2 linked regions of the Notamacropus eugenii genome follow. The protein of the gene in region 1 purifies or fractionates together with the protein of each later gene. This does not show direct contact. Links are inferred from orthologs where the notes say so. Each region holds a gene or a part of one and is shown in the gene's direction. Other genes may lie near its edges. The genes, in order: PTPN1 and ABCD3.

Region 1 (15,248 bases):
TATGGGCCTTGTGTTTGTTACCCTTAGCTTAAAGCACCTCCTACCCTGGGGTCTCTGGGTAACAAAATCCAGTGCTCCTATTACACACAGACACACATACACACACACCCACACACACCTGATTGTACTTGCTGGAAGAACCAGCAGGTCTTCCTAGAAAGCTACAAGAAGTGACTCCCAGAAAGTTACAAGAACACTGAAATGAAACATGGCTATGTTCTTTTACCTACCATCTTCCTCTTAAGTTCATATAATGTTATAGAGGCTCCAAGGCCCCCTTCTAAACCTGCCATATGAACCCTTGATAATTGGTCATCCTTCCTCTGTTGCAAGGTAAGTGGACCTAAGTTCCAGATTTAAAGCAAAAGTGGTTTCTGCCATCTTACTACAATAAGTGTGGCTATTGATAATAATAATAGCTAGTGTTTACAGTATTGCAATGCTTACAAATGTTATCTCATTTTTATCCTCACAACAACCCCAGGAAGTAGGTGCTATTATCTCATTTTACACATAATGAATATGAGGTAAATAGGGGCCATGGGACTTACCAAGAGTCAAATTTGAATTCAGGTCTTCTGGACTCCAGCTCCTGCCTGATTCTAGCACTTTATCCATTGCACCACCACAGATAGCCCTCCCCTGATGAATACTTTATACTAACAAACTCATAAGATTATTACAAGGATATGTGGTAATTTACATAATTATACAATGTACATGAATAACTTTGCAAAGTATAATATAAATGTAATCTTTTGAAACCTGAAGATAGTTCATAAAGCATTCAATCACTTTCTCACTCAGAATTGTTTTATAGTGATTGATACCAATTATACATATTATATGTGTATACACACACACACACACACACACACACACACACACACACAAAATTCTGAAACCATTGACCATATACCTCAGCTTAAAGTCAATCCCTCTCTAGCCAGATTTCCAACTGAAGAAGAGTATGGCAAAGCACTTGGTGCTGATTCTATTCCAGCTGAGATTTACAAGGCAAGGGATCCACTGTTCATACAAAAGCTGACTGAAAAATTTTCCAGATTATATAGCAAGAGGAGGTTAGCCCCCAGGAGTTCAAGATGCCTCCACTGCCCATTGCTATAAAGAAAAAGGAAACAGGTTGTACTGTGATAATCACAGGGTTGTCTCTCTTAGTTATTGCTGGCAAGATTCTTGCCAGAGTCCTCTTTAATAGACAGATCCTTCACCTGAAAGATGGTCATCTACCTGAGAGCCAATGTGATTTCAAAAAGGGCTAAGGAATGGCTGATGTGGTGTTTGCTGCCTGGTAACTCCAGGAGAAATGCCAGGAGCAGAACAGCGATCTGTGCACAACATTCTTTGATCTGACCAAGACTTTTGATACTGTTAGATATGAGGGCTTGTAGAAGATCATGGCAAAATTTGGTTGCTCAAAGAAGTTCACCAGTAGTGTACTCCAGTTTCACAACAGCATGCTTTCGCAGGTTTTGGACAATGGACAATGCACTTGCATCTTCCCAGTCACCAATGGAGTGAAGCAGGGCTGTGTGCTTGCTCCATGCTTTTCAACACGATGTTTTCAGCAGTGCTGTTGGATGCCTTCAAGGAGGGCAAAAATGGCATCATTTGAAAAGCCTACAAGCCTAGGGAGGGTTGGTGCATGACTTTTTGTTTTGCAGATGATAGTGTGCTCAATGCTGCCTCTGAGTGTCAGATACAACAGAAATGGATCAATTCTCTTATACTTGTGCTTATTTTGGCCTGACCAAGAAAAAAGAGGTTCCCCACCAGTCACCCCCACATTATCCATACATGGAACCATAGGTTACAACAAATGGAAAAATCGTGAATAATGTGGATAAGTTCGCTTACCTTGAAAGCATACTTTCCAAGGATGAACACATAGATGATAAGGCTGACACACAAATTTCCAGAGCTAGCTCAGTGTTGGGGAGGCTCTGAAGGAAAGTGTGGGAGAAAAGAGGTATTAGACTGCCTACCAAACTGAATGTCTACAGAGCCCTTGTGCCTATCTCATTGTTGTATGCCTTTGAAACCTGGACCGTATACCAGCACCATGCCAGGAAACTGGCATTTGACTTGTCTTAGGAAGATTCTGAAGATCACCTGGCAAGATAAGGTACCAGACACTGAGGACTTTTCTTGAACTGAACTGTGAAGCATTTAAACTCTGCTGCAAAGAGCACAACTCCAACGGGCCAGCCATGTTGTTTGAACGTCAAATGTATGTTTGCCTAAAAGTCAATTTTATGGACAACTCACATGAGACAAGCATTCACAAGGAGGTCAGAAGAAGCAAAACAGTGGTACTCTCATTGTCTCTCTGAAGAACTTGAGAACTAATTGTGTGACAACAGAGACAGTAGCACAGCACTGCCCAGCATGGCATGCCCTCATCAAAGAAGGTGCTGTGCTCTATAAGCAGAATTACAGTAGCTCAAAGGAAATGTGAAATGTGCAAATTTAGAGACATCTCAACTCCAAATGTTCATATGGACTACTTGTGCCAATCTGTGATAGAGTCTTTCAAGCTCTAGTTGGTCTGATCAGCCACAGCTGGACACACTGTACCCTGACCCCAACACAGTGATGTCATCTTGGTCCTCTTAGAGAATAAAGGACAACAACCAACTATATATAAATAGGTATAGACCTATAATTTTATTGCTATAGGGAACTCACATTGTGAGAAAATTCCTCCAACAACTTATCTATCACTTAGAGTGTTAGGATTGCCTGGGGACCCTGAGAAGTTAAGAGAATCGTTTAGAGTCACACAGCCGCTAGGTTTCAGAGGCAGTATTTGAAATATATGTGTGTGTGTACACACACATATATGCACCAAAATAACCCTGAACCTCAATCAAGGGTAGAAAAAACAAAACCCACTGTGAAAACTAGAATTGAACTTCAGAAATAAAACTGTTCACTAATCTGGAAAAGGCATTTGAGTTCTGTTAGTTAGGAGAAGCAATGAGAGCAGAAAGAGGTGAGCTATGGCAATGATGAGCTGTCAGCCATGACTGTTCAGGGTGTGAACATGGGGTTTTAGACTCCACATCCAATGCTCTTTCACCATCCTATGCTGCTCTTTAGGTTTTACTTTATTGGAGTACCTTATGTGGATATAATGGAAAGAAAAGTGAAGTTGAGGTCAAATGATCTGGATTTGAAATTTAGCTGTACTCCTTCCTATCTGACTTGGAAAAGTCACTTACACCTCTCTAGGCCTCATTTCTCTCATTTGTTAAAAAAAAAAAAAGAGGGGGTAGTGGGGGACTGGACTAAACGATCTCCAAGGTATCTTCAAGATCTAAATGCTATGATATAAAGAACATGTAAAGGGTCTTTTTTTTTCTCCCTGGAAAGATTAAATTATTCACTACCTCTAGAAAAGACCTTGAGCAAGTTACTTACTTTTCTCATCCTTAGCTTTCTCATCTGTGAAGTGGCCATAAGAATACTGATATCACCTGGTCAATATATCAAATATGTCCACAGTAGAAAAAATTGAACCGAGAGAGAAGGATGGCCGCCTGCTCAGACACTTGGACATTAAGTGATTAAAAATGAGTTTAATTTGGAGTTTGCTTTGAGCATTTTCAGTAGCTCAGCAATTCTTCCTTGGATGTATTTTTGGAAATCTAATTCTCAATTCTCAAATGCATGTACAAGCTTACCCATAGTTGTAGAAGGCCACTACCATAATAGTAGTTAAAATTGGGGTATATCTTTGAAAGTATATTATGTGTCTCCAAAGATATATATTTTTGAAAATGAAACTCTGGTGCCAATACTAGCAAAAGATCTATAGCAATCACTGACCCTAGCATTTTCAAAGCAGTGGTTTTTATCAGGTAATAGCATATGGTCTTCAACAGAATTCACCACGTAAAACCCCTATGTAAATTTTGACAAGATGGTTAAGTGACTGTGGGCTAAACTAACTTTTTTGTGGTACAAATGTGGCAAACAAATGCTATCTTTTTCTTCCTCCCCTTCCTCTCTGTCCTCCCCTCACCCCCCATCATTCTGATATGTCACACTTTAGGTTCCCTTTTCTGTCTTCCTTTTTTTAAGGCCTCACTTCTAGAGAACTTCTTAGTTTCACTGCATTATCAGTTGTTATGAGAAATATTTATAACCTGCAGCAAGTTACAGCTGGCACCTCAACTGCTCAAATCTATCAGCTACTTTCAGCAAAAGAGGCCATTCTTCATACCAGTGATGCCAGGAGGTTCTTGCCCAGTCACAGGTGTTCTAATACTGTGCTGCTGCTGCTATTGCTCCCAATCCTATAATACTATCAAGGTATCTCAAAAGTCTTAGCGCAGTTTTTAGTAGCTTTTAAATAAAAGTTTAAGCTTCTAATAGCTTAAAACTGTAGAAGACTGTTGAATAGCCCTGTATAAGGAAAACATGTATACAGATAGCCCTTTTGTCAAGCACTTTATTTGAGCCTCACAACAATCCTATGAGATAGATATTATAGGTATTATTATCCCCATTTCATAAATGAGGAGACTATGGGTCAGAGAGATTAATCAACTTGCCCCTTGGTTACATAATCCATAAGTTTCAGAGGCAGGCTTTGAATCTAGGTCTTCTCGACTCCACATGGAACACGCTATCTACTACATCATCCTTCTCTCATTACCATTATTCCACCTACCAATAATTAGGTGACAGTGGATAGAGCCCTGAGTTCAAATGTGGCCTTAGAAACTTACTAGCTGTGTGAGTCCAGGCAAGTCTCAACTTCTGTCTGCCTCAGTTTCCTTATCCAGGAAATAATACTAATGGAGATTTTACCCCATTTCTGAGGATTATTGTGAAGATCAAGTAAATTAATATATATCACACTTTGCAAATTTAAATTGCTACATAAATGCTAGCTATTACTACAATTACCACCAATGATACCAATTCTACTGCTAACAATGCCACTATTACTATTATGACTGCTGATACCATCATTCCTATTACCATCACTGCTATCTGTACAATTGTACTGCTGCTACCAACACTGCTACTGGGAATACTACCATTATCATTGCTACTACTCCTACCAATACCATTATCACCAGGACTCTTGACCATGCTACTACTGCCACCCTTACTGTTACTAATATCATTCATTGATGCTGTAACCATTATTACTTCTACTACCAATATGAATACTACTATAGGACTGTACCTGTTTATTGAAAGACAAAATGCTAAATACTCCACAATGAGCAATATGAGAAACTGGCAAGAAAATAAGGGCACATGTAAAGAATCATAGAAAAAAATGATTCTCTCCTACAATATCCTTGAAAAATGGCCTAAAGATTTTGTGATAAGGAACTCCTAACCTCAAGAGGAAGCTCATTCTACTTTTTTTATGGCTGTAATTGTTAGGAAGCTGTTCCTTATGTTGAATCAAAATTAATCTCTCAGCAAGTCTTCTATTTGGCTTCCCTCCTTCTATGATCTCCTCTTCTCCAATCCATCTAATCCATAAAAAAAAAAAAAAAAGTTTTGACCATATCCAACTCTTACTAAGAAATTTTCCAGGATTCCTTGAAGATAAAATGCAAAATTTTTGCCTATCATTCAAAGTCCTTCACAATCTGCCTCTCACCTTTCTTTCCATTTCCTTCCATAATTCCCCTCCACATAGTCTATATTGTAGCCAAACTGATGCATTTGTTTTTCCCTAAACTCAACATGCCCTATCATGGCATATATCAACTAACTCTTTTCTGCCTCTTCAAATTTCTCTTTAGGGCTCAACTAAAGTGACAATTCTTATTCAAATTTTTGATGCCCCCATTTGTTAGTAAGTTCTCTTCTGAATTGTGTGTTTGTGTTACTTCTCTTTGGATATGATGTCTAAGGTCTCTTTAAGCTCTGAAATCCTAGGATCATATGCTTATCCTTCCAGTTAAATGTAACCACAACATGAGCATTAATTATTTGTTTTTCTATCTCTAGCATGTAGCATGTCTTCTATATAAAAGGCATTTAAATGTTTTTTTTAAACTGAAAATAATTATCATGTTAAGCTCAACCGAAGTCTTTTCCTCTACAGGTTAAAACTCCCTAGTTCCTGCAACCAACCTCATATGTATGGATGGTTTTTATGCCATCTTCATTCTCTCTAGCTTATCAATGGCCTTCCTAAATGTGGCATCAAGAATTGAACTCAGTATTCCTGAAGTGTTCTGAGTAGAATGTGGCAGCCCTATCAACTCCCATATTCCAAATGATTCTATTAATGTAGACTTAAATCACAGTAGCTCTTTTGGTTCACATTTTAAACTGTTGACTCATGTTAAGTTTGCATTGCACTAAAAACATTGATTATTATCTACCCAAGGCTTACCCAACTTGTGCTTACATATCTGACTTGTTTTAAAAAACAAACATGGAATTCTTCCATTTATTCCTATTAATTTTCATCTTATTACATTTGGTCTATCGTTGTAGCTTGTCAAGGTATCTTGCAAACCCAATTAGGGTATACAATGTGTTAGCTATGTCTCCCTTCTTTATGTTATTTGCAACTTTTGTAAGTATGCCCTCTCTGCCTTCATCCAAGTCATTGATAACAGTGCTTAATGATCCAAGGACACATGCCTGGAGTACTCGAGACCACTTTCCAGTTTGATATAAATCCATTAATCACCACCATTCTGGGTCCAGTCTGCGATTCCATCTAACTATATTTGTCCAGCCCACTTTTTTTCTCTTGCTCACAAGCCTATTTTGAGAGACTGTGCCATGATTCTTTGTTGAAAACAGGAATACCTGTCTACACACCATATTTATCTATCAGTCAAGTAACACAATCAAAAAGAGGAGATGAAGTTAGACTCTCATTGCTTGTGCCCTTTGCTGGCTCAGAGTGATCACTTCCTTAAGTGCTCATAAACCATTTAAGAAATAATGTTCTAAAATTTTTGCCAGGAACTAGAATCAATATACTCCAAACTATTTATAGCAGGACTTTTTACAATAGCAAAGTCTTGGAATCAAAGCAGAAACCCATCAATTGAGGAATGTCTAAACAAATTATGGTAGAGGAATGCAAGGGAATATTATTGTACTAGTGAAATATGAAGAATTCAGAAAAACATGAGAAAACTTATACGAACTGGTACAATGTAAAGTAAGCAAAACCAGGAAAACAATGTAATGACAACAACAATGGAAATGGAAATGAAAAAAAAAATCAAAACTGAACACTATTTAATTATAATGACTAAACCTAATCCTGAAGAAGAAATATGAGAATGCACCTACCTCCCTTCTTTGCAGACTATGGGACACTGCAAAATTTTTCAAAAAGAAAATTTTTAAAAATGCAAGTGGGGTTCTGGGGCAACACTTACAAGTAACCACCTTCAATTACATTATATAATGTATAACACAAAATAGAGCCTTGGAACCCTTTTACTTTAGAGGCAGTGAAGAGTAGCTTACGTGGATATATCAATGGCCTTGGAGTCAGGAAGAACTGTGTTCAAATCCTGTCTTAGCTCAGGATTTACTCACTGTAAACCTTTGACATTCAATTTATGTAGGCCTAATTTTCCTCCTTTGTAAAATGTGGTATATAGGGGCAGTAGATTCTAATTGCCTCTAACATCCCTTTTGATCCTGAATTTATGATATAGGGACAATTGTTATTTCTTCTGCTCTGTAAATCCACTTTTGCCTTCCCTTATTTCCCTTTCCAGAAAAGGGGAGGGTGGGGGACATAACTACTTCTAATTATCATTTGCAGCTCTGTCTTTATTACTACCAAAGTGACCATGGTCACTTAGGGTCTGCATCTCATTAACACATACTCACCTCCCTAGAATAACATGTAGTGACTTCTTGGTCTCCCTAAACTCTCATATTCTTTTTGTCAATACCTTTCTCTCCGAAAAGTTGAGTGATAAAGATGTCAAATGCTAGAACTTACTATTTTTGCTTGTTTGTTTTTTGGTGGGGGTGTGTGTGAAACTTAAGGGTAGGGAAGGAAGTTGAATGGGGTTTAATGACTTATAGGAATCCATGTCAGGAAATAAAAGGGGACAGGGAGACATGAAAACAGGGAAGGCCTGAAAACTATCTATTAAGAAAGCTATTCATCAGATTGTGGCATAATACAAAAATTCCCTAAAGCGAGGAGTGAGGAGATCTGGATTCTAAGCCCAGGTCTGGCTTTGACCTTAAGCAAGTCATCTCAGATGTAAAATTAAAGATTGTACTTGATGACCTCTAAGGTCCTTTTCAATTCTAAATCTGTGAATCAATTATCTCTCTGGGTTTCAATTTCCTCATGTGTTAATTAAGGTTGTTAGACTATATCCTCTCTAAGGTCCCTCCCTACAAGCATTGTTCTGTGACTCAAGGTACATCTCCCATGTCAGACAGAGTGAGACAAGGCAAGTGGAGTTTCTTCAGTCTATGTCAGGGACATCTACCAAAGTAGAGTTGTACTCAATATACTTCATTCTTTAGTTTTTCCACTTGCAACTTGAAATTTAAGGGTAGGAATAATTGGGGTTCAGGGTGGAGGCAGAGGAGCAAAGAGTCTTGATTAAAATTACTAAACATGCCTTCAGGTAGGTGGAACAGAAAAATCCATGACGAAGTACATGGTGCCCACAGCCAGGATTCCACTGGCATTGATTAGGGAGTAGAAGGTAGCTTTAAGTGAAGTGTATAGCCATCATTCTACAATGTCAACTACTCAAAGAATTTTTTTTTTGGTTAATGGCTCATTGACTGCTGGATCAATGAGACAGGGTTCAATCAACTCCCTGGGACCCTTTCCTCTAGCAGTGTTGCTTTTTAACCCGTCACCAAATTACCTATCAGAAAATACGGAATTGCCACAAGGCAGAACTGACTTACTACTGTCAGGCAGGCCTCCCAGGACCGCCGAGGGCTTCTCCGTAGGGCTGCAAGCACTGCTGGGGAGGAGGGGAGGACAGAGGGGCCCTGGCCAGTGAGTGCGCCCGTGTCCCCTACAAAACGGGAATGATGCTTATAGCGCCTGCCTCCCAGGGAGAGCGGGAGCATCGGATGATGCACCTGAAGGGCTTGGCCGGCTACGGTTAACTCCTGCAGCCAACCCCTTCGTTATGCAGAGAGGTAAACCGATCCAGAGAGGAGTGCCCCAGGGGCGCACAGCCAGTTTGCGACAGATCTTCTGGGTCTTGCCCCTCCAATTCGACGCTAACTGACCTGCACCCAGTTTCTCCGCCCTTTTTTATAAAATAAGTTAGCAGTAATTGAAAGGGCCTGTTGTTGGAGCGGATCTGGGAGTCCGCTCCCTTTCACACCTTGGAAAACTGAGGCTGGACAAGTGGGAGGGCACCTGACTCATCTCAAGTCACGCAGGGAGTCAGGAAGTTTGGCACCCCATCTACCAACCCACACACTAGGGCACGCGCCCAAGAGGACACCGAAGCCAGGTGGCCGCCACGGGGTCGCCTAGGTAACCGCGAGCGCGCTCATAGCTCGCTACACCGGAAGTCCGGGGAGTACGGGGAGGGGAAGGGGAGCTCGGAGCGCGACGTCTCGCGGGACCTGACGAAAGCGCAGCAAGGAGGCAGAAAGGGAAGTGTCCCCCCCCCCACCCTTCGGGACCTCCCTCTGGCCCCGCCTCCCTCGGAAGTCCCCCGCGAGGATTGGCCGTCGGCCCGGGGCGGGGCCTGAGGCAGGCGCGGTGCGTACTTCCGGCTGCCGGGTTGACATGAAGAGGCAACGGAGGTGGTTGAGGAGGCGGTAGCGGCGGCGCCCGGTTCCCGGGGGGTTGAGGGCTAAGGAGGGTCTGAGGTGGCGGGGAGGGCGGCCCCAGAGCTGGAGGAGGCGGTGGAGGGCGGCGGCGCCGGCGGCGGAGGAGACCGACCAGCGGGAACGAAGAGAGAAGCCACACCCGCCGGCCTGGACGTCTTCGAGATGGAGAAGGAGTTCAACCAGATCGACCAGGCCGGCAGCTGGGCGGCCATTTACCAGGTGCGGGAACGCCGACCCCGGGCACTGGCTCCTCGGACTCGGGGAGGCCTTAGTATCATCTCCTCCCCTCAGTCGGGGGATGCTGCTGGGGACGCAGACTCCAGACGGGTTGTCCCTTGGCCCCGCCACCCCCAGGCCCGTACCTTTCCTGGGCCCGGACCCTGCCTTCACGTCCGACTGGACTGAGGTTTTCGTCCTTTTCTCCCCCCAGCAGATCCTGACAGTGCTTCCCCAGGCGCCCCATCCCCCCCTGTTTTGTTCTCGGAGGCGAGCGTGCTCTTCCCCCCGCCAGGACCTAGTAAGCCTCCCAAGACCCCCTTTGTTCCTCAGGTCCCACATCCTTTCCTGTAAAATTGGGTCCTACATGGCCCCTAACTTGTCCTTAGGTTGACATGCACACAACCTCTTTGGGCCTCAGGTTTTTCATCTGTAAAAATGATGGGGCTGGACAAAATGATCTTCACCTTCAAATCTGATCTCCTCTGACCCCATCTCCTAGACACCCATTCTTTGTCTCCTGGGATTGATTCAAATCCCCCACCCCCCCAGTTTCACCTCCCCCAGGAACAGGTTTGGATGCCAGGGTAATTTCTTCGATTATTGTCTCCCGGAAATAAGATAAATCACAATTTTCGCTTTCCCTCCCCTTTTCACCACTTTTCTCAATCCCTTTCACAGTTTTGGCCCAAAGATGGTAGAACCCTTTTCTACTAGGGTAGCTTATGAGAAGTGGCCTGTTGTACCATCAGTCTTTGGCATCACAGATTGCCTTCCAGACAAGGATCATAAAAGAGGAAAAAAGGAAATTGAAACTCCTCTAATCCATACTAAATTAGGATGAGTTGCATATCTATAAGGCAAATAATCAAAACTTGCCACCTTGCACTTGGTTAGTTCTGCTGATATCTTGTCTTGTATGACCTGCTTAGGATGTGGTGGTGTATAAGTGAAGTTGGTTTTTTTTAAGTATTAGGTCAGGAATATGAAAAGAGATAGTTTACTAGTAGCCAACTCTTCTAAAGAAAATGTAATTGTGTGGAAGAGAGTTGGGGGCGGGGATAAAGGTTAATAAAATAGTGTCTTAGCACAACAGAAAGTAAAGAGGGTTTTGCCCCCTTTTGTAAAGGGAGAAACCTACATACTCAGTTTCAAACAATCTTGACTTGAGCTTCAGTTAAGCTCAAAAACAAATTGTGAGCTCTACTGCTAGCGTTTAAAAATCTATTTTGAAATCCTTTTTTTAAAAATGCTTTAAGCTGTTAGTGACTGATAAAAGGCTTTTGGGCTGCCCAGGGCTTTTATTCTGATTTGTTTCAACTGCCTTATTTGAGAGCATTCTTTTTTGTATCAGCTCTTGATGGAAATGAGTTCATATATTGCCAGGCTTTTGTAATCTTTGATGTTAGGAATGCCAAATTTAGATTCCTTGTTTATTACGTCTGTAAGAAAACAAAATTCATTTTACTGGCAACTGGCGAATTTCTGGAGGATGTTTTTAATAGGAAGACTAGAGCAAAACTGCTTCTAAAAAGTAACTAAAGTTTATGATTGGATGTATAAATACATGTATAAATGTAGGAATGTATAAATGTATGAATTTGTCTTTATAGTTAGACCCTTCCTTCTTAGGGCACAGTATCATTAAATCCCAACTTTTCCTTAGTGAAGTTTAAGTAATGATGCTAGTCAACATAGAAGAGAAGCTTTTAAAAGATTAACCATGCTAGACCCTCAAAAAAGGTTGTCACATTTCTACTAGGAAAGTTATGTGATTGGTTTAAAATAGGATCGTCCGGCCTCTTTGGCATTGCTGCAATACTGGAGGTGGTTTCTATGACCTTAAAAAAGTGTGGAGTCTTTTCCCTCACCTCTTAATATTTACTTTTACTGTCCTGAAAATTAAAAATTCTTCTCCATTGCAAACTGTTAAGTTGTTTCTTATTATAGAACTAAACCTTTAAGGTGTTTTTAGGAAAAGATAAGATGTTTCAGAAAAAGAGATGAAACTGATCTATTAAATCTTAGCAGAGTAGGGAGTTTTTATCTTTATATATCTACTCATTTTAATCCATTATTTTCCCAAGAATGTAGAAAAGAACATATGCCAGCAGTTAGTGGAGAATCAAGGAATCTCAGATTTTCATGGCATTATATTTTTATTATAAAATATTTCTTAATAGTACAACTGAGAGGCAGGCTTGCATATTAGGGTGCTGGGCTTTGAGTTAGAAAGTTTAAATCTGACACATAATAATTGTGTAACTCCAGACAAAACACTATGCACCAGAAATTGTTTTAGCCCGCAAATTATAGGTAGATGCTTATCTACACTGGTGGAGGAAATTTTTGTACTGGAAGTTCCAAAAAAAACCTGATGAAATCATGGGTCTGGGCAAATCAACATGCTCTGTTGCTTTTGGAAAATATGGTTAACTTTTAGTTTGCTAAGTGCATTAAGTTACTGTTAAAATTTGGTAGCATCTTTTTATTCCTCACCAAAAAAGCAAAACAGATTTTCTACTAATGAACAAAAACAGATAACGGAAAAAGGACTAAATGTGAAATAGGAAGAAGTCTCTCTTTGGGTTCAGACTAATGTGGCAGGGAAATCCTGCTTTAGCTGCTTGGTCAAGCAACAGTCTGTGTTCATTCCGTTTGGTAGGGTGTAAACAATGCTTTGGAATTTTGAAGTTGATCAACAGTACAAATATCAATAAGCATTCACACTAAAAAACTACCTTGGTGATAAATAGCATATTGGGGCAGTATTTAAAATTCATTCTTTAGCATTTAAGCAATTATATCATGTTTGGGAAAATTGAATGCTATTTGGGCCATACCTAATGGGATTGAGCTGGTGAGACTAGAAGAGCACAAGCATGAAAAGAAACACTGGTCTTGGAAAAAGAGCTGAAGGAAGGTAGAAGAGGTCTTGAAATGAGTAAAAAAAATTAGTAAAAAGATATCCAGTAAGACACAGTCCATATACATTTTGTGGTATAAATGAAATTATTGTTACAATATTTATAGTTTCAGTTTTTATGAAACAATAGCCAGTGGCTTAAAGGCAGGATTTATTGCACATTATAGACAAGTTCACCCAGATTGCCAGCTTTAATAAAAAAAAAAAAAAAGCAGAAACTAGCTATATAGGAGAGTTAATGACTGATTTTATTTGTTCTTCAGTCATTTTTCAGTTGTATCTACCTCTTTGTGACCCTATTTGTGGTTTTCTTGCCAAAGATACTAGAATGATTTCCCATTTCCTTCTCCAGTTCATTTTACAGATGAGGAAAGTGAGGCAGACAGGGTTAAGTGACTTGCTCTGGGTCAACCAGCTAGTATGTATCTGAGGCCATACATGAACTCTTCAGGGAAATGAGTCTTCCTGACTTTAGGCCAAGCACTCTATCCATTGCACCACCTAGCTGCCCTAATGACTGATTTAACCCTTAACAAAAATATATGTTAATGTCTCGCTAAAATTCCTTAATACTGTTATGTATATCTGGCATATGATACTCCAGTGGGATGGGATATTAAAACTTTATGATACTGTTTGTTTAAAGAACATTGTCTACAAGGAAGTAGTACTTTGGGGGAAAATAGAAAAGAATCTGTACAGTATGACATGTTTGTCATTCTGTTTAAAAAGATGAAATGAATAGAATAAGAAGTTTTAATCATCTTCAGTGACCTATTAATTCTAAATGGTATTTAGACTAGAACAAAACAAGAACTAATTTTAATTGTCCATAACTTTGGAGATGGCATAAAACACTTATAATCATCGGTATTTTGAGCTAATTGGAAGCACCAGCAGATATGGTGGAGAGGAGAATAACTTAGTGCCATTATTCAGTTGACATCACTGACATATTTATAGGAATGAATGCCTTGGTACATTTGGAAGTGAGCAAGCTCTGACAGCGACTCCTAGAAACATTCAGAGGACAATGATTATGAAAATCGTTTTCAGTTGTGACATTGTCCTGATTCTCCACCCCCTCGCCCATGTAACTGAATTTTTCTTTTTAATATGAAGGCTCTACTAAGCCCTGTAATAATGCGGTTGAATTATTTTACTGCATACTTTATATAAAGAAATAGGAAACTTCCATTAGAGATTTTGGATATATAAATTGCTTTTCCCCTCTCCTCTAGTATATGAGATTTTTCGCACTGTCCTATTTTGACACTACTCCTTTAAGCTGCAGTATATGACACAAGTGTGTATATTGAGTCATTTGTATTTTGTGAAAACATAGACCTCTTGCATAAGTTGGCATTCTCCTTACAATGTCAAGTTAAATTGCTTCTGAGTTTATCCTAATTAGTTTCAGCAAGTAGGTTACAGAAATTCCTTTACTGTGATATGTTCAGTGAGGTTGGTGCTGGAGTTGGTTTGATTTTAAGGAAAAATGTATTTTATAATATCAGATTTAAGATTTCTAGGCAGCATCTGTGCCGGCTTCCTTAGCAGTAATAGAGCCTGAATACAGATCATCACTCAGGGAGGAAAATAGGGACATAATACAATGTGTTCTTATATTCTAATTTGTCATAGGCTTGTGTAAGTTCTTAGTTACCTAGAATTTCAGAGCTAGGAGAGATCTTAGGATTTTAGACTTAGAACTAAAGAGGACTTAGAGTTTCTCTAGTTCAGCCTTTCATTTTTACAGATGAAAAATCTCTAAACCTAGAGACGTTAAGTAAGTTGCCCAAGGTTTGTTTCTTCAGGTTTGTACCCAGCCAAGCCCTCATCCCCGTTCCCTTAGTACAGCCCCTTCGTTTTGTGGATCAAGAAATAGGCCCAGAGAGAGGAAATGACTAGCTACCCACATGATTGATGGAATCAAGACTAAAACCCAGAGCTTCTTATTTTTTGCATAATACCAGTTGTATTCTCCCAGGAGGGACATTTCAGAGAATAAGCTTTTTCCCCCCTTTGTGCCAAAAAGAAAATCTTATTATGTCCTATTGTTCATTTTGTATTGACATTTATTGAGCACCTACTTGGCACATACATTGTTTTAGATTCTGAGGAGGATACAAAAATGTATGATAATGATTTTTGAAAAGGACTTGTATATATGCAAGAATTTGGAATTGCTTGTTTTGTTTCTTAGAAGCCATCAGTAAATTTATACTTGGCTTGTGATGAATTTAACTGTCACATGGGAAGTGGAACGTCTTGGTCTTTTTATCAACTTCTGAAT
Region 2 (15,009 bases), on another chromosome or scaffold:
ATTTCCTTGGCAAAGATCCTGGAGTGGTTTGCCAGTTTCTTCTCTAGCTTGTTTTACAGATGAGGAACCAAGGCAAATAGGATCAAGTGACTTGCCCAGGGTCACACAGCTGAGGACAGATTTGAACTCATGAAGTTGAGTCTTCCTGATTCCAAGCCCAGTGTGCTATTCACTTTGCCACCCAGTTGCCAAGCACTTTATACACACGTGATATAGTAGATGAGGCATTGGACTTTGAGCCAGGAAGGTCTAGGCTTGCATTATATCTCATATGCTTACTAGTGGTGTGACCCTGAGCAAATACATCACTTAATCTCTGTGAGCTTCATAGGACCTTAAGGTGAAAGGGACCTCAAAAAACCATCTCATCCAACTCCCTCATTTTACAGATGAATTATCTGAGGGTCCAGAAAGGTTATGCCCAAGGTCAAACATTGTAAGTGTAAGCTAGACTTCAACTCAGATCCTAAGTTCAGTGTCCTTTCAGCTGTAGCATAATGCCTCTTTGAACTTCCTCATCTATACTACAGGAATAATAATAGTACCTCTCTCACATAGAGTGATTTCAAAGACCAAATGAAATAACCATAAAGTGCTTTGCAAACCTTGATCTCCAGTCATCCAATTACTGTGGATTTTGTGGGAAAGAATGTAATATGGCAGGTCTCTGTGCAATTAGGGTTATATTATCTACTAATAGGAGCATTTGGAAAACCTTATTCATAGCGTGGAATCTTCCTCCATGACCTTAGCAAACATTGTAAGGTAAACTGTGTTTTATACCTTGTTTGTTGTTAATACTCACTGGCTTATTGAATCAAGTGATCTCTGTAGTTTCACTTGTCAAAGGATATTATATAATTTTAAAATAAATTTGAGTGGGAAGTACTTTGAGAAGAGTCTTCAAAGCTGCATTTTGGTAAACTGATGAAACATTAAAAATACATATATTATATATATGTTTTTAATGTATGTTTAGATATTTGATATATATTTTTAAACAGGCACCTACTGTTACAAAGAAGTTAATTGATGATACATTTGTTAAAAGCTAACTTAGATCTACCGTGCCTTAGATGTACTCCCAAATCAAATATGTCAACATTTAATGTTGCTAAAACATCACTCTGTTAGAGTCAGTGAAGTATAATGGCAAGTGTGGCAGACTTAGAATCAAGAGACTGGGTTCGATTTCCTGGTCATCTCTACAATATGCTTCCTCCATCTCTGTAATCATCCCCATCCCCATCCCACATGATTCTTGTATTCCAGCCCTGGAACCGTACTGGTCTCTGAAGAGGGAGGGGAGATTTTTGCTTCATCTTATCCAGAGGCAGGCCTCCCTACTACTTACCATATAACCCACTTGAGCTTCCTTTCATGTGCTATGTTCCCTCATTAGAAGGTAATCTCCTTGAGGTAGGGGACTATCTTGTTTCTTTTTATTTATATCGACATCCTTCATCACAGGGCCTGACATAATGAGCACTGAAATGTTCTGTCTTTGTTCATTGGTGTCTATCATCCATCCATCATCTATCTACTTATCTATCTATCTATCTATCTATCTATCTATCTATCTATCTATCTATCTATCTATCATCTGTGTCTATCTAATATATATTAGCTCTGTGTCTATAGGAAAGTCACTTAAACTCAGTTAAGTACCACAGTTTCTGCATCTTTAAAATTGGTAAAACCTGAAATCTGAAATGTTTTCCTCCCATGGCTGTTATAAGGATCAGATGAAATAATGTAAGTAAAGTGCTATAATCAGTGGCATCAAATTCAAATAGAAAGAGGGGACAATGATCCATACTTAAGGATACATGCAGTTGCATATTGATTTAGTTTTAAGATGTAATCTTATTTGATTACATTTTTATTTATTTTATTAAATATTTCCCAATTATATTTTAATATGGTTCAGGTGGCAGTATAGAGTTTTTGGAGGGGGGTGGTAATTTATACCTTGGTGCTATATAAACATCAGTGTTTTGCTCTTTTTGGTTTTGGCTAGGACCTTTGATTTCACTGGCATGAGAAATCTATTTTGGAAAGTTCTATTAGACAACAATAATTTTATTTTTTGTTCAGACCTATGATTTCATTGGTAAATGAATCTCCCACTGGGGAAACTATCTCTACCAAACATGACTACCAACTACTCTGCAATTTATAGTCTTAGAGAGCTGTCTCCTGTACTAGGGAGTTAAGTAACTAGCCTAAGGTCATACAGCTAACATATCAGAAGGATTCAAATCCAGGTATCCATGACTCAGAGGCTACCTCTGCCACATTACCATTAAAATTATTACTACTGTTGTTACGACAAGAATAATACTACATTATTTGTAATCTTATATTATCTAGGCTGATACATCACTATTCACATTTTGGGGATTTTTTTCACTTCTAAAGAGCGTGTCTGCTCTAGTCTTGTGGTAGAACATCCTTAATGCAAAGTATGGGAGCTGCCTTGAGAACAGAGACTAAGGGGGGGTGCTATTACATCAACTTTTTCCCAGTTTGAGCTTCAACTCAGAAGCCTGGGAAACTCTTTCACCTGAGAGATAAGAATTGTTTGGTAGCTCTAATTGCGGGAAAGTTTTTCTTTCTATTGTGTCAGAAAATGTGGGAGCCTAGTGGTGGGGAAGTACCATTTCTCAGCTTCTCTGCATTAGCAGGTCATGACAAGGAACACTACAGAGTGGTAGGGTAGCCAATCTCCCTGGCACTAACATTTGGAGGTCACTGAGCAAGGCATGAGAGAGCCTGGGGGATTGGGGAGGTGGTGGGTAGTGTCAGTGGCTGATGATTATACTTCTTAGAACAATCACTGGCATTGTGTATGTAGGAAGCAGGGCTGGTCCATTAGTGCTGTTGATTCTTCTGAGGCTGCTGTTGTGGTTCTGCTAACAAAAATTTGAGAAAATATGACTAGGTACTACTTAGGAACTGGGGCTTGCCCATGGGTTAATCTGTTGTGTGAATAATTGTGTGGTTCTCTATGTATTTTATCCATAAGTTGGAACTAGAAGGGAAGATTTTTTTTCTATGTGTCTATCTGAGAAACTGGAGGTGTCTGGGGAGCCCCCACATGTTTTGTCTGTCAATGGATTGAGGAAGTAGACTGAGGAGAAAGATATAGGTAGCTAGGTGATATAATGGAAAGAGCGTTGGACTTCGAGTGAGAAAGATATGAGTTCAAATATTATCTCAGGCACTTACAATTGGTGAGATCCTGGGCAAGTCAGTTAAATTCTATCAGTCTCAGTTTCCTCAAGTGTAAAATGGGAATGATAAAAATAACACCTATCTCATAGGGTTATTTGTGAGGATCAATTGAGAAAATATATGTAAAGAACTTTGCAAACTTTAAAGCAATGAATAAGCATGAATTGTTATTAAGACTGAATCAGTTGTCATCATCCCAGGAATGGTGTTAGACTGATCACAGGCTAGGTTTAGTGGTATGCACCTGAAGAAACCTATGGGTCAGGCAAAATAGCAGTGCAGCAGAGTTACATGGCATATTGGGCTGGAATTTTTCTCTCTACAATTTCCATTCATTGATCCTATTCTGCCCTTTGAATTACATAGAATAAGTCTACTTTCTCTTTGGCATATAACAGCTTCCCAGTTTTTAAAAGACAGCTGTTACATTCCCCTCAAGTTTTTCCTTCTTTATACTAAATACATACCCTTCCCTGAAAGATGCCTCATGTATTAAGTGACATCTCTGGTATAGTACAAAGAATACTATATGTTGAGTCAGAAGACTTGGGTTTGAATGGTGGTTTTTCCACTTACAGCCTGCTGCATATTGGGTAAGTCACTTGACCTCCTGAGGTCAGTGTTTTTCACTTCTAAAATGATAGCACTGGACCACATGATCTCTAAGGTCCCTTTCAGCTCTAAATCTATGAGCCAATGGCATGCTTTCAAGATCCTTTCTCATTTCTATCACAGTCCTCTGGACACTATTAATTTGTCAATGAGTTTCTTATATGATTATCAGACTAGGTACCATAGTTAAGGCATGATTTTACTAATGAAAAGTATAGTTGAATTATTACCTCCCTTGATCTGGACACTTTTTAATTAATAAGCCTCAGATTGTATTAGCTTTTTTAGCATCATGCTGACTCATACTATGCTTGTGTTAAACTAAAAGTTCTAGTTTTTCTACATGAATTACTGTCAAAAGAGATCTCTATCATACTCTATTGATGTAATTAGTTCTTTGAAACTAAATTCAGGACTTTGTATTTATTCCTTTGAAATTTCATCTTATTCAGTTCAGCCCATTAGTCTAACTTATGAAGATACAATTGTATCCTTTTCACTAATTTAACATTATCTATTTTGTATCATATACAGAATTGATTAGAAATCTTTCTAAATCTTCACCTGAGTCATTTATAAAAATAATGACTAGGTCATAGACAAAGTCCTATGGCATGATAAACATTCTTTCTGGACAGTTGTTACCAATGAATGAACTACGAATCTACCCAAATAAGTACTATTATCTAGCCCATGTTATTTAAAAAATAAATTGTTTTGCCAATCAATCAAAAAACAAGCATTTATTAACACAAAGGTGAAATTGTCCCTACCTTCAACGGGGGAGATAATACATAAAGATGAAGGCATGTAGAGAATATATACAAAGTAGTGATATTAGAGAGATGCACTCAATTGAAGACAATTTCAAATGCCGGAGAAATGTTATCCTTGGCTTCCTTCAAAACAGAGTTCAGGGATCGCCATTTCTTGGAGGCCTTGCCATATTTCCTCTCCCCCATCCCCTCAACTCTAGTTGTTTATGCTCAACATGTCCTAGAATTACTTGGTAATTTTGCATTTATTTATTTATATGTTGTATCCTACAAATAGAATGTAATCTTCTGGAGGTCGGGAACTGTTTTACTTTTTTGTCTTCATATCTCCAGGACCTAGCCCAGTGCTCTGTGTGTGTATGTGTGTGTGTGTATGTGTATGTAGGTGTACATATGTCTATATATACATATAGTGAGTATATGTTACATACATAAACAAATACATAACACACACACGTATATTTGTATATAGTGGGTTCTTAACAAGAATTTGTTAAATTGAAGAAAGCTAAGGAGTCCAAAAGGCAGAGGGGAGGATGGAAGATATTACAGGCAGGCAGGGCAGCCCCAAATGACTTGGGAGACAGTAAGTAGGTCAGTTTGACCTAAGGGCTACATCTTCCTCCTTTCAGTTCATCTCCAAAACCCCTTGATCTCATTGCTCACACACTCTTCCTTTCCTCTAGGCTCTGTTAATGGAGTAGATCTTGCCTCTCCACCTGTACCTTGGAACCCATCTCCTCTTGTCTTCCTTAGCAGACTGTGTCCTTAAAACATGCCTGCTCCCAATGTTTAAACTATCTTCTAGTTGCTTCACTAGACCCTACCATCACTTCAAAACACTGCATGCCATCTCTCCTCCCTTTCTCAGACTTCTTGTTGTTTCCATTTCCTCCTTAAGTCTTTGCAGCCTGGCTTCGGACTTCACTGCTCAGCTGAAACCTCTCTTATGAACTGCCAAAGCAAATGGCCTCTTCTCAGTCCTTAACGTTCTTTTTGCCTCATTGGATACTGTTGACCACTCGATGGTCTCTGGACACTTTTGCCTCTCTGGGTTTCTTGATATGATTCGCTCCTAATTCTTTTACCTGTCTGCTCCTTCTCAGTCTTCTTTGCTGCCTTATCAATTGAACCACACCCCTGACCTGTGGGTGTTCCCCAAAGCTCTATCCTGGGTCCTCCTTTCTTCCCTCTCCATACTTTCTCTCTTGGTGACCTCATCTGTTCCCATGGATGTAAACAATCATTTCTATGCATATGACTCCTAGGACTATATATCCAGCCCCCTCTCTCTCTCTCCTGAGTTCTTGAGACAATAGGGAGCCATTGAAACTTCTTGGGCAAAGGAGTAAGAAAGTCAGACTTATGCCCTAGGAAGTTTATTTTAGTGATTATGTGAAGAAATGGCTAGAGAGAAGCAAGAGTGGAAGAGAGACTAATTAAGAGGGTATTACATGGTTCCTCCTTACCCTTCCCATATTCCCTCCTCAGTAGTAAGACAATGAATAACAAGGGTCTTTAGTATGACAAACTTCTTTACTAGAAGCATGAAGATATATATGGACATAAACATCACAGGCAGGCAGTTACAGGCAGGGGCAACTGACAATGCAGTCCAATTATGGTGAGCAGCTTACTGTAGATATATATCTCTACCTTGTCACCTGAAATCACTCCATTCTATAGCTCTACCAAGAAGTCTGAGCTCTTCTTAGTTTCACGCTGTAGCAAAAATTCCCTGACAATCAAGGGAAGCAGTATCCAGAAGAGACAGTTTTGGTGCCAGGAAGAACCGAATTCAAGTCCTACCTGTTGTATACATCTTGCCTGTGCAACCCTGAGCAAGTCACTTAAGTCTCAGTGCTTCAGACAACTCTTTAAGATTGTAAGTTTCTGCTCTTCATTGGTAACAGTTACCTTTATCAACATAACCACAAGCTCTGTCCAAAAAGACATTAGCTAGGTACCACTGAAGGACCAGGTCTCCGTGGCTCTTCCACATCTCTATCCCTTAGTGCTCCATAGCTCTGGTTCTTGCTTGGGTCAGCTCTTTTGCCATTCGGACTCACTCACCCACTCTCAATCCCCTGAAACTCTGGCGGTATATCTGTTTAGAACTGCTTTATCCTTTGCCTCGATGACCACTCCTCCAGGTCTGCCTACTCTAACCCTTCTCGTTCCATCTTGCTTCTGGCTGCTAGGGATCAGGGCCAAGCATATCACCCATCCTGCATTTAGCAAGACTGGAGAGGTGGGATAAAGCAAGGGTGACCTTTGTTCTACATTCTTGGGCATCCAAGCTGTCATGCTCCCTGAGTGTGCAGTCCTTTCTTAACTGGATGAGGTGTTCTTAAGCTTGCGGTCCACTATCTTCCTTTTCCCCACCCCGTTCCCCTAGGTTAAAAACTACAGCCTCCCTCGGAAACTGCTGGGACAAAGAAGGCACTATTCCATCTGCGAAGCCTTGGTCGCTTCTTGGAGGAGGGCAAGGAAAACAACAAGGTGCTGGGGCTACCTTTGCCCCATCTCCTCCGCACGCAAATCTGTAGTGGGGTTCACAGGAGACCACAAGGCAGACCCGTGTCCTCTTAGCCTCTTTCTCGCGGTGTGTGGGGTGGTACCTGGGCTGGTACAGGTGTGGAGAGGTCAGAGTGAATAGGTAAGGCACACTCAGCCTGTGCGTGCTCTTCCAGTTCTTAATGACGCCTGGGGAGTAGGAAGGGAATGTCGGGATGGTGGGGAGACAGAGTGGGAGGACGTTCGGGGAGGAGAGGTTCAAGTTCAGCCCGCTATAGCAGGCAAACAAGCGAGAGAGGTGGGCGCAAGGAGGGCGAGGCGAGGGCTTCCCAGGAAGCGAGCGCAGAGGAGGCGTGGCCAATGCGGCCGCGGGGCGGGGCACCAAGTGAGGCTAGGGCTTCCCAGCAGCTACGAGCCGGACGGGGGCGTGGCTAAGACTGGCGCGAGGCCGCGCGCGAGGCAAGGCGAGGGGCGGGCTCGCGTGGGCCCACCCCTCCGCCCTCCTCCCCCTTTCCCTCAGGTCTACCCAGGCTTCCCAGCCTTCCCCGCGCTTCCTCGGCTCGGGCAGTCGCAGCAGCGGGCGCGCGTCCCCGTCCCTGTCCCCGGCTCGTTCCGTGCTATGGCGGCCTACAGCAAGTACCTGACGGCGCGGAACTCCTCGCTGGCCGGGGCCGCCTTCCTAGTGCTCTGTCTGCTCCATAAGCGGCGCCGCGCCGCGGCCGCCGCCGCCTTCCGTGCTGGAGGCCCGCAGCACGGGTAAGCGGGACCCGCCGCCCCCTCCTCCTCGGGAGTCTGCCTCGCGCCCCCCCGCGCCTCCAGTCCCGGCTTTGGGGTCCTGCCAGGGCCAGCCTGCACTCGCTCGACGGGTCCCGCTCCCCGCGGGCCTCTGGGATTTGGGGGGTGGGTAGGGCTGCCCTCCCTTGACGTCCCCTCTCCCGTGCTCCTCCCCCTCCGCGCTCGCGGCCCTTTCCTCGCCCCAACTTTCCAGGGCGTCTTCGGCCTCCTCTCCCTGTACCCCGTGTGTGGGTGCAGGACCTGGCGCGGTTGGGGGCCCCGCCTGGGAGCCCCGCAGCCTGTGTCCGGGGCTGCCCCCGAGCTCAGGACAGTCAGGGGTCCGCCCCAAACCGTCCAGGAGGAGGGCGAGTCTGAGAACTCCCTTTGGAGCCCCTTGGCAGAGTCTGGTGGGAGAGCGATTGGTGCCCTTGGTCCGTGACTCGTTGTCGAGAGCGGCCGAATCTCGGGCCAGAGCCCGCGACGGAGCGGGCCGGGCCCTCCGCGGGTGCTTTCCGACTTCCCTGGCCTCAGCCGGTGAAGGGCGTGCAATCTCTTCCGCCGGCCAGGTGCAGGATCCAGGTCTCCTGCGCTCGGCTTCCCAGGCTTTCCTCCGGCAGATTTCACTTCTATTTTTAGGGTTCGGGAAACTGGAGGAGAGGGGTTCGGGAGTCGGCTTTGGTCCTCCAGAAGACGTTAGGCTTCTGTATATTCTTAGATAACCGGGTTTTTGGTGAAGTTACAGCCCAAAAGGCCCTGTGCCTTCCTCGGCATGTTGTGGGTTGGTTTGGTTTTTTAGTTACCATTTTATTTCATGAGAGCTGCCACCACTAAAATCTGGAGTATGAAGAAATTAAGTTTTATTCAATTGGAAGAAGTACAGCTAAAACTAGAGACCATGATAACAGCTGTTCAGTTCTATGCTATTAACGGTAGTTTCCCATAGGAAATAATTCAGAATTGCCCAAAAGACTTAGTGTGGTGAGAATTTTCACATTAAAAGGAGCATATTTGCGAGGGCAAAAACCTGACAACTGTTTTGTTAGGCACCGTAAGTAAAGCATACGTAAAGCAATTCACCGTTTTAAACTTAGTTGATTCTATTCCTCACCTAGAAATTTACCAATTAAAAAAAATTCTCAAATAAAAATATAATGTGACTTTGTATTAATATTCTCTCAGAGAGTAGTGCTTAAATAATAAGAATAAATGCGTTAATGTTTAGAGAGTAGATAACAGAATGAGATAGACCTTGATGAAAATTTTAGATATTTGATTGGAAGAACACTGGCATGTCATCATTTTTGTTAAAATCACACAAAATGACAATCCTTTCATTAGAAATTATGCAAAGCGTTTTGAAATTAAATTGGATTCTGGTGAATATATTTGAATAAGAAATCATTGCTTCATCATCTGTTGAATGGAAATAAAGAAGAGATTTGTAGGTCATTGATAAAATTGGGATTTAAAATAAAGAGAAACATGAAGCAAATGACTTTTAATCCTCAAAATATTTATAAGCTTGATAAAGATTTTAAAATGTTATTTTGGTGGAGGAGGTGAAATGGTCAAAACAGTTTTATAGGAATGGGACAGATCCTATGATTTCATTTGTAGAAATAACATTTGAATGAGGAAACTCCCTCTACCAAAGAAGGTCTTCACCTTCTCTGCAATTTAGAATCTTAGAGGGTTTCCTAGAGCACTGAGAGGTTAGAATCAGAAGGAGGACCTTAACTGGTGTTGTCTTGGTCTGCTCTCTCTGCCATGCCAGGATGCCTTTGTAAAGCTTTATAGGTCTACTGTGTTCCAAATTGTCTTAATTATCTTTCTGTAACCTGCTAAGACAAATGAACCTTTTGTATTACAGCCTGTGAAAATTGCCTGTTTAATAGGTGGAGTACTTATATTTAACTGTCCTTATGAATCTCTTTGATAATGGTTAATTAGATATATGTAAAGGTTAATCAAAACAGAAGTCCAATGGTCAAGCCTTTCCTTATTCTAGGCACTCAAACATGTTGGACACCAGAAGCCTCTGAAGTTGAGTTCTTGCAAAGTAAAGTGAAAACAGTTCTTTTGTTTAAGTTTAATCTTCCAGTCAGACCATTAGAAAATGAGCTGACTGGAAGTTGGCACCCACATAGAGCCTTTTCTATTGACCTGTAAGCCCTTCAAGGTACCTTGTCTTATCTAAAATTGTGTTTCCTTTAGTACCCACTTAGCACAATACTCCTATACACTAAGTGCTTAAGTACTTTATTGTTTTAGTTACTGTGGAGCATTTAACCCATAACTAGTTGATAAGAGAGCTACAGAAAATATGTAAATTATATGGTATCTCCTGCCTTTTGGACATTTTCACCTGGGTGATCTATGTAGTGCAGGGAACATACCTAAAACTGAACTCATTATCTCTTCCCTCCAGGCCCTTCCCTCTCTTCTAACTATTACTCTTCAAGATTACACCATCCTCTCAGTCACTGAGTCTCCCACACTAGGCATCATCCTTAACTCCTTACTCTCTTACATCCCCCTTCCCCAATATATAATCTCTTGCCAAGGTCTTTCAATTTTATCTTCATAACATCTCTTGTATGTGCACCCTTCTTTTTTTCTGAAACAGCCATCCCGCTACCCTTGCTAAAGTATAAGCTATCCTCATGTCTTAGCACATAACATTTAATTATGTCAATAAAACAAACATACAAAAAGTTTACAAATGTAAAGTAACTTATGATTAGGTAACAGTAAACAGTATAGATAATAAATGGTATAGAATTCAAGAGAGATCCATATAAGTGGTCAAGGAAGGCTTCATTAAGGAGGTGAGACTTGATTGGTGCCTTGAAGAAGGGGCAAGATTTTAGATATGTTTTTATATGGAAGAAATAAAATATTAAGGGTCATTCATTTGAGTTCATATTATGTTTATGAATTTTGATGAGAGGAAGAAGCTTTCTGTTCTATTCCTTAGACACTTGGAAAGATTATACAAAACCTATCAAGGTGATAGGCAGATTCATGTACCTCATTTAGGTTCTTTGAACCTAATTTGTAGGGAAAAACATTGATAAAGTATGAACAAGTAATCTGTCAGCTGTGAATGGTCATTATTAATTATATGGCAAAATTTTAATAGGATGGATTTATTAGATGCAGGAATATGAAATCCTAAAATACTTGGGTTTCTCCTCTATCTACCCTTATTCCTTCTCCAGCACCTCCATCCCCCAAATCCTTAATAAAAATGGTAAAATGTTTTAGAACATCTCAGAATAGCTAAACAGAAGTCAAGCCATGTGACCTGCCTTCCATGTTACCTTTTTCTTTTGGTTCTTGTACCTTTCTTACTACATACTTCTGTCTTCAGCCTGTGTAGATTACCCAAAGCTCAGTACTTGGCACTCTTTGTATTTTCCATCTTAGAACTCATTTGTAGAGCTTTAATGTTTTAGAGCTAGAAACTACTATAGAAATAATTTAGTCCTGTCTCCTTGTTTTACATATCAGGAAATGAAATCTAAGACTTTCCTGGCTTCAACTGCATCTTGTGAAGAACCTCTAGTCCTTTCATCTCCTACTCATTAGAATGCCCTCATTTGAGTAAGCTGTCAAGATCATCTTAAATTCATGACAACATGGCATAATGGAAAGAGCACAGACTCAGGAATCACAAGACCCAAGCTTTGCTCAGGCTTTGTCAAGTTGGAGAGTGAACCATAGGCAAATCATTTCACTTCTCTGGACTGCAGTTTCACTGTCTTTTAAAACGAAAGGATTGAACAAAGCAGTTCAGTTCTAAGTCTTGAGTGTAACTCTACAAGCATGTCATCTTTTCCTTGGAAATCAATGTACAGATTCCCTACAGCAGTTGAACTACTTTTTTCTCAGTAATCTTTGACTTTGCTCACTTTTCCCAAGTCTAACGTGTACATTTTGTCAGCTCTTACATTTTGATATTTCTCATTCATCTTTTCTTCACTGTCTTCACTATCATCACCCTCTTCTAAAGCCTGGGTAATTCATTGCTGGATTACTTTAGTAGTTTTCTAACTTGTCTTCCTACTGCCAGACTTTTTTTCCTCCTGTCTTCAGGCACATGTTTTTTCAGGGCTTACTATTTGCCAGGTATTGTGGTAAATGTCCTGGGGCAATTATCTGCCTTCGGGGGCTTATGGTAGAGTTGGAGATTTCACTTCATACCCAGCAAATTAGCAAAGATAGGATTGGTCAGTGATGGAAGAGGCAGGACTAAAGAAAGACAGGTATACTTCTACACTATTGGTAGAGTTGTGAATTAGTCTAACCAATTCTGGAAAGCAGTTTGAAATACATTCTAAAAGGTGACTGAAATACTTGACCCAAAGATCCCCCTACTAGACATATGTCCCAAAGACTGGTCAAAGATGAAGAGAAAGATCCCATATTAACCAAAATAAATGATTTTTGTTTTAGCAAATAATGAGAAATAAAGTAAATGCTCCTCAGAGTGGCTGAATAAATTGTAGTACATCAACATAGTGGAATGTCACGGTGCTGTAAAATGATAAATCGCAGAAATGCAGAATCAGAGTTGGAAGGGATCTCAGAGGCATATAGTTCAACCCATATATGAAAGGAATCCCCACTGTTACATAACTGACAATTGGTCATCCAATCTCTGCCAAAACACCTCTGAAGAGGGGAGAATGTAAATATGAAGAATTCAGAGAAGTAGATGATGGTGTAAATGAACTGATCTAGCCTGCAGTGAGCTGAACCAAGGAAAACAATATATGCAGTGACTACAACAATGTAAATGGAAAGAACAAAATAATTGAGACTGAATCTAATTTTAATGTAATTATGCTTTGTAATTAAAATTTTTTTTATAACCTAAATATGTTATAATGATGAAGCATGGTTCCAGAGAATAGGTGAGAAAATATACTTCCCTCCCTTCTTTGCAGAGTTGAAGGACTGTGGGTATGGAGCATCTCGTCTGCTTTCATATTCACTTCATGTGTTGGTTAGTTTTGCCAAACTTTTTTTTTTTTGTCTTTTTTATTCTTTTGTTACAAAGGATAGCTTGCTGGGGAGGGGACATTCAAAAATGAAGTTGATACAATAAAAGTAAGATCAATAAATATTAAGTAGTTTAAAAATATAGTTGGGGAGACAAGACAGACATGAAAAAGTGAAATGAAGTAAAGAGAGATTAATGCTATATGGAGAGTGCTCCATATATGTGTATCTTAAATCCTCATTGCATTCTTGTGAAGTAAGTGACCTCAGCAGTTTATAGAGATCCACAGTACTTAGAACTGGAAAGGATTTTAAGTTGTTTAAAGTATTAAAATTTTTTCCTGTCTTAACAAGCATCATAAACAACAACAACAACCCCAAAACAAAAAAGGACATTTCCGTTTAACAAAGTAGAATAGAAAAGGAGGTTCACACATGAGATGTAAAGTCTGTACTGTATACAACTTATTTCTCCTTTGGAAAGGACTTTAGAGAATATCTAATCCAACAATGAGAAAACTGAGGCCTAGGGATTACCTAGGGCTACACTGTAAATGACTAATGTTAAAGACAGAATATGAATCCAGATCCCTTCTTATTCCAGATCCATCCACTGCCTTTTCCATTATAGGCCATTGCCTTTAATAAGTCCTTTCTTCATAACCATATTATGAAGATTAATAAACTCATTTGACAGGTGAGGAGCCTGAAGCTAAGAGATGCTAAATAATTTCAGTCATTATTCCCAACTCTTAGGAATACAAAAGGAAAAATGAAATATTCTGTGCCCTGTAGGAGTTGGGAGGGGTAGGCATTGTGTCACCTATACAAGGTATTTAATCTTGGAAAAGAAGGTTGGAGCCAGGTCTCAAGGGGTTTTAAATTGGGATACAAAAGAAGTTACATATTTGACCCTGGAGGCAAAAGGGAGTCAGTGAAGTTTATGGAGCAGGGGAGCAATATAGTCTGTTTTATGCTTTAGGGTATCAAATTTTGATCATTGCATCTGATATTTTTGACTGCTTCATAGGCTTAGAGTTGGGAAGGACCTTAAAGGCTATCTAATTATTAGATGAATTATTATCTAATTATTAACCCAATTTTCATTTTTGTCACAAGGCAGGTTTTAGTCTGAATGGGGAATGGAGGTATTTAAAGTTATTGTGGTATAAAGACAAAAATCATTAATAAAATATTTTTTGAAATACCATTGATTAGTTTTTACATCACTTTCATTTCTAGATATAGTAGAAAGAACCCTGGCTCGGAAGGAAAGATGTGGGTTCAGGTTCTACCTCTGACATTACTTCTATTGTTTTATGGAGGAGGCAGCTAGGTAACTCTGTAGATAGAGCAGCGGCAGCATGGTTGAATGGACAAGTTACTAAATCTCTTTGGACCTCAGTTTCCTTACATTCCTTAAGTGAAAAGATTGGACCTAGATAGTCTCTTAGGTCCCTTTCAGCTCTAGAGTGGTGAACCAGTGACATAGCTGAATCTTGACACACTGATAGTTCATCCTTTTTTCCATCAGGTGCTTTGTTTGCTTTCTGTCCCAGGAACATCATGCCCTTTGCAAGATAAGCTGATTATTGGAAATCTCAGATTGATCTAACTTTGGTACTCAACACCTCTCTAGCACCCTCAGTTGTTTCTCCTCTCTGATTGGCGGGCAGGAGAACAGAGCAGTAAACTCCCAAACTCTTTTTTATAGAGAGCTCAGAACTTTGGTTTTGATTCCATGAACATCATGTATTTCTCTGTCCTGGGTACTTTCCACTTCCTTACTACCTGTGCCCTTCAACATTCCTTGCATTCTGGATTGTCAAAAAGAGAAGATGTAGAGAGGCAGATTTTTGGATAAATGCAAAAATAAATTTTCTAACAACTATAACTGTTAGCTTTGGTTGTTAATCTTAAAAGTGTTAAATCTTAAAGTTAATCTTAAAGGATATGGTAGGCTCCCTTTTACTTGAGGTCTTAAAGTGATGACTTCTTGTTTTTGTAGAATGAATGGAAAGATGCTTATTCAGGTAGGAATTGAACTAGTTAGCTTCTGAGATCCCTTCCAGCTCAATCTGAGTAA

Evidence for each region.
Region 2: the proteins of PTPN1 (region 1) and ABCD3 purify together in Homo sapiens (affinity purification with mass spectrometry; 3 studies listed by BioGRID and IntAct, with this or other methods). This does not show direct contact. The link is inferred for Notamacropus eugenii from reciprocal best matches to the Homo sapiens genes PTPN1 and ABCD3.

The regions. Positions count from the first base shown.
Region 1 is NC_092872.1:516,308,331-516,323,578, reverse strand, and holds the start of PTPN1 (tyrosine-protein phosphatase non-receptor type 1), read left to right. Parts: upstream 1-9,732; 5' UTR 9,733-9,972; coding exon 9,973-10,029; intron 10,030-15,248. UniProt on the Homo sapiens protein: Tyrosine-protein phosphatase which acts as a regulator of endoplasmic reticulum unfolded protein response. Mediates dephosphorylation of EIF2AK3/PERK; inactivating the protein kinase activity of EIF2AK3/PERK.
Region 2 is NC_092873.1:269,765,068-269,780,076, forward strand, and holds the start of ABCD3 (ATP-binding cassette sub-family D member 3), read left to right. Parts: upstream 1-7,645; 5' UTR 7,646-7,761; coding exon 7,762-7,898; intron 7,899-15,009. UniProt on the Homo sapiens protein: Broad substrate specificity ATP-dependent transporter of the ATP-binding cassette (ABC) family that catalyzes the transport of long-chain fatty acids (LCFA)-CoA, dicarboxylic acids-CoA, long-branched-chain fatty acids-CoA and bile acids from the cytosol to the peroxisome lumen for beta-oxydation.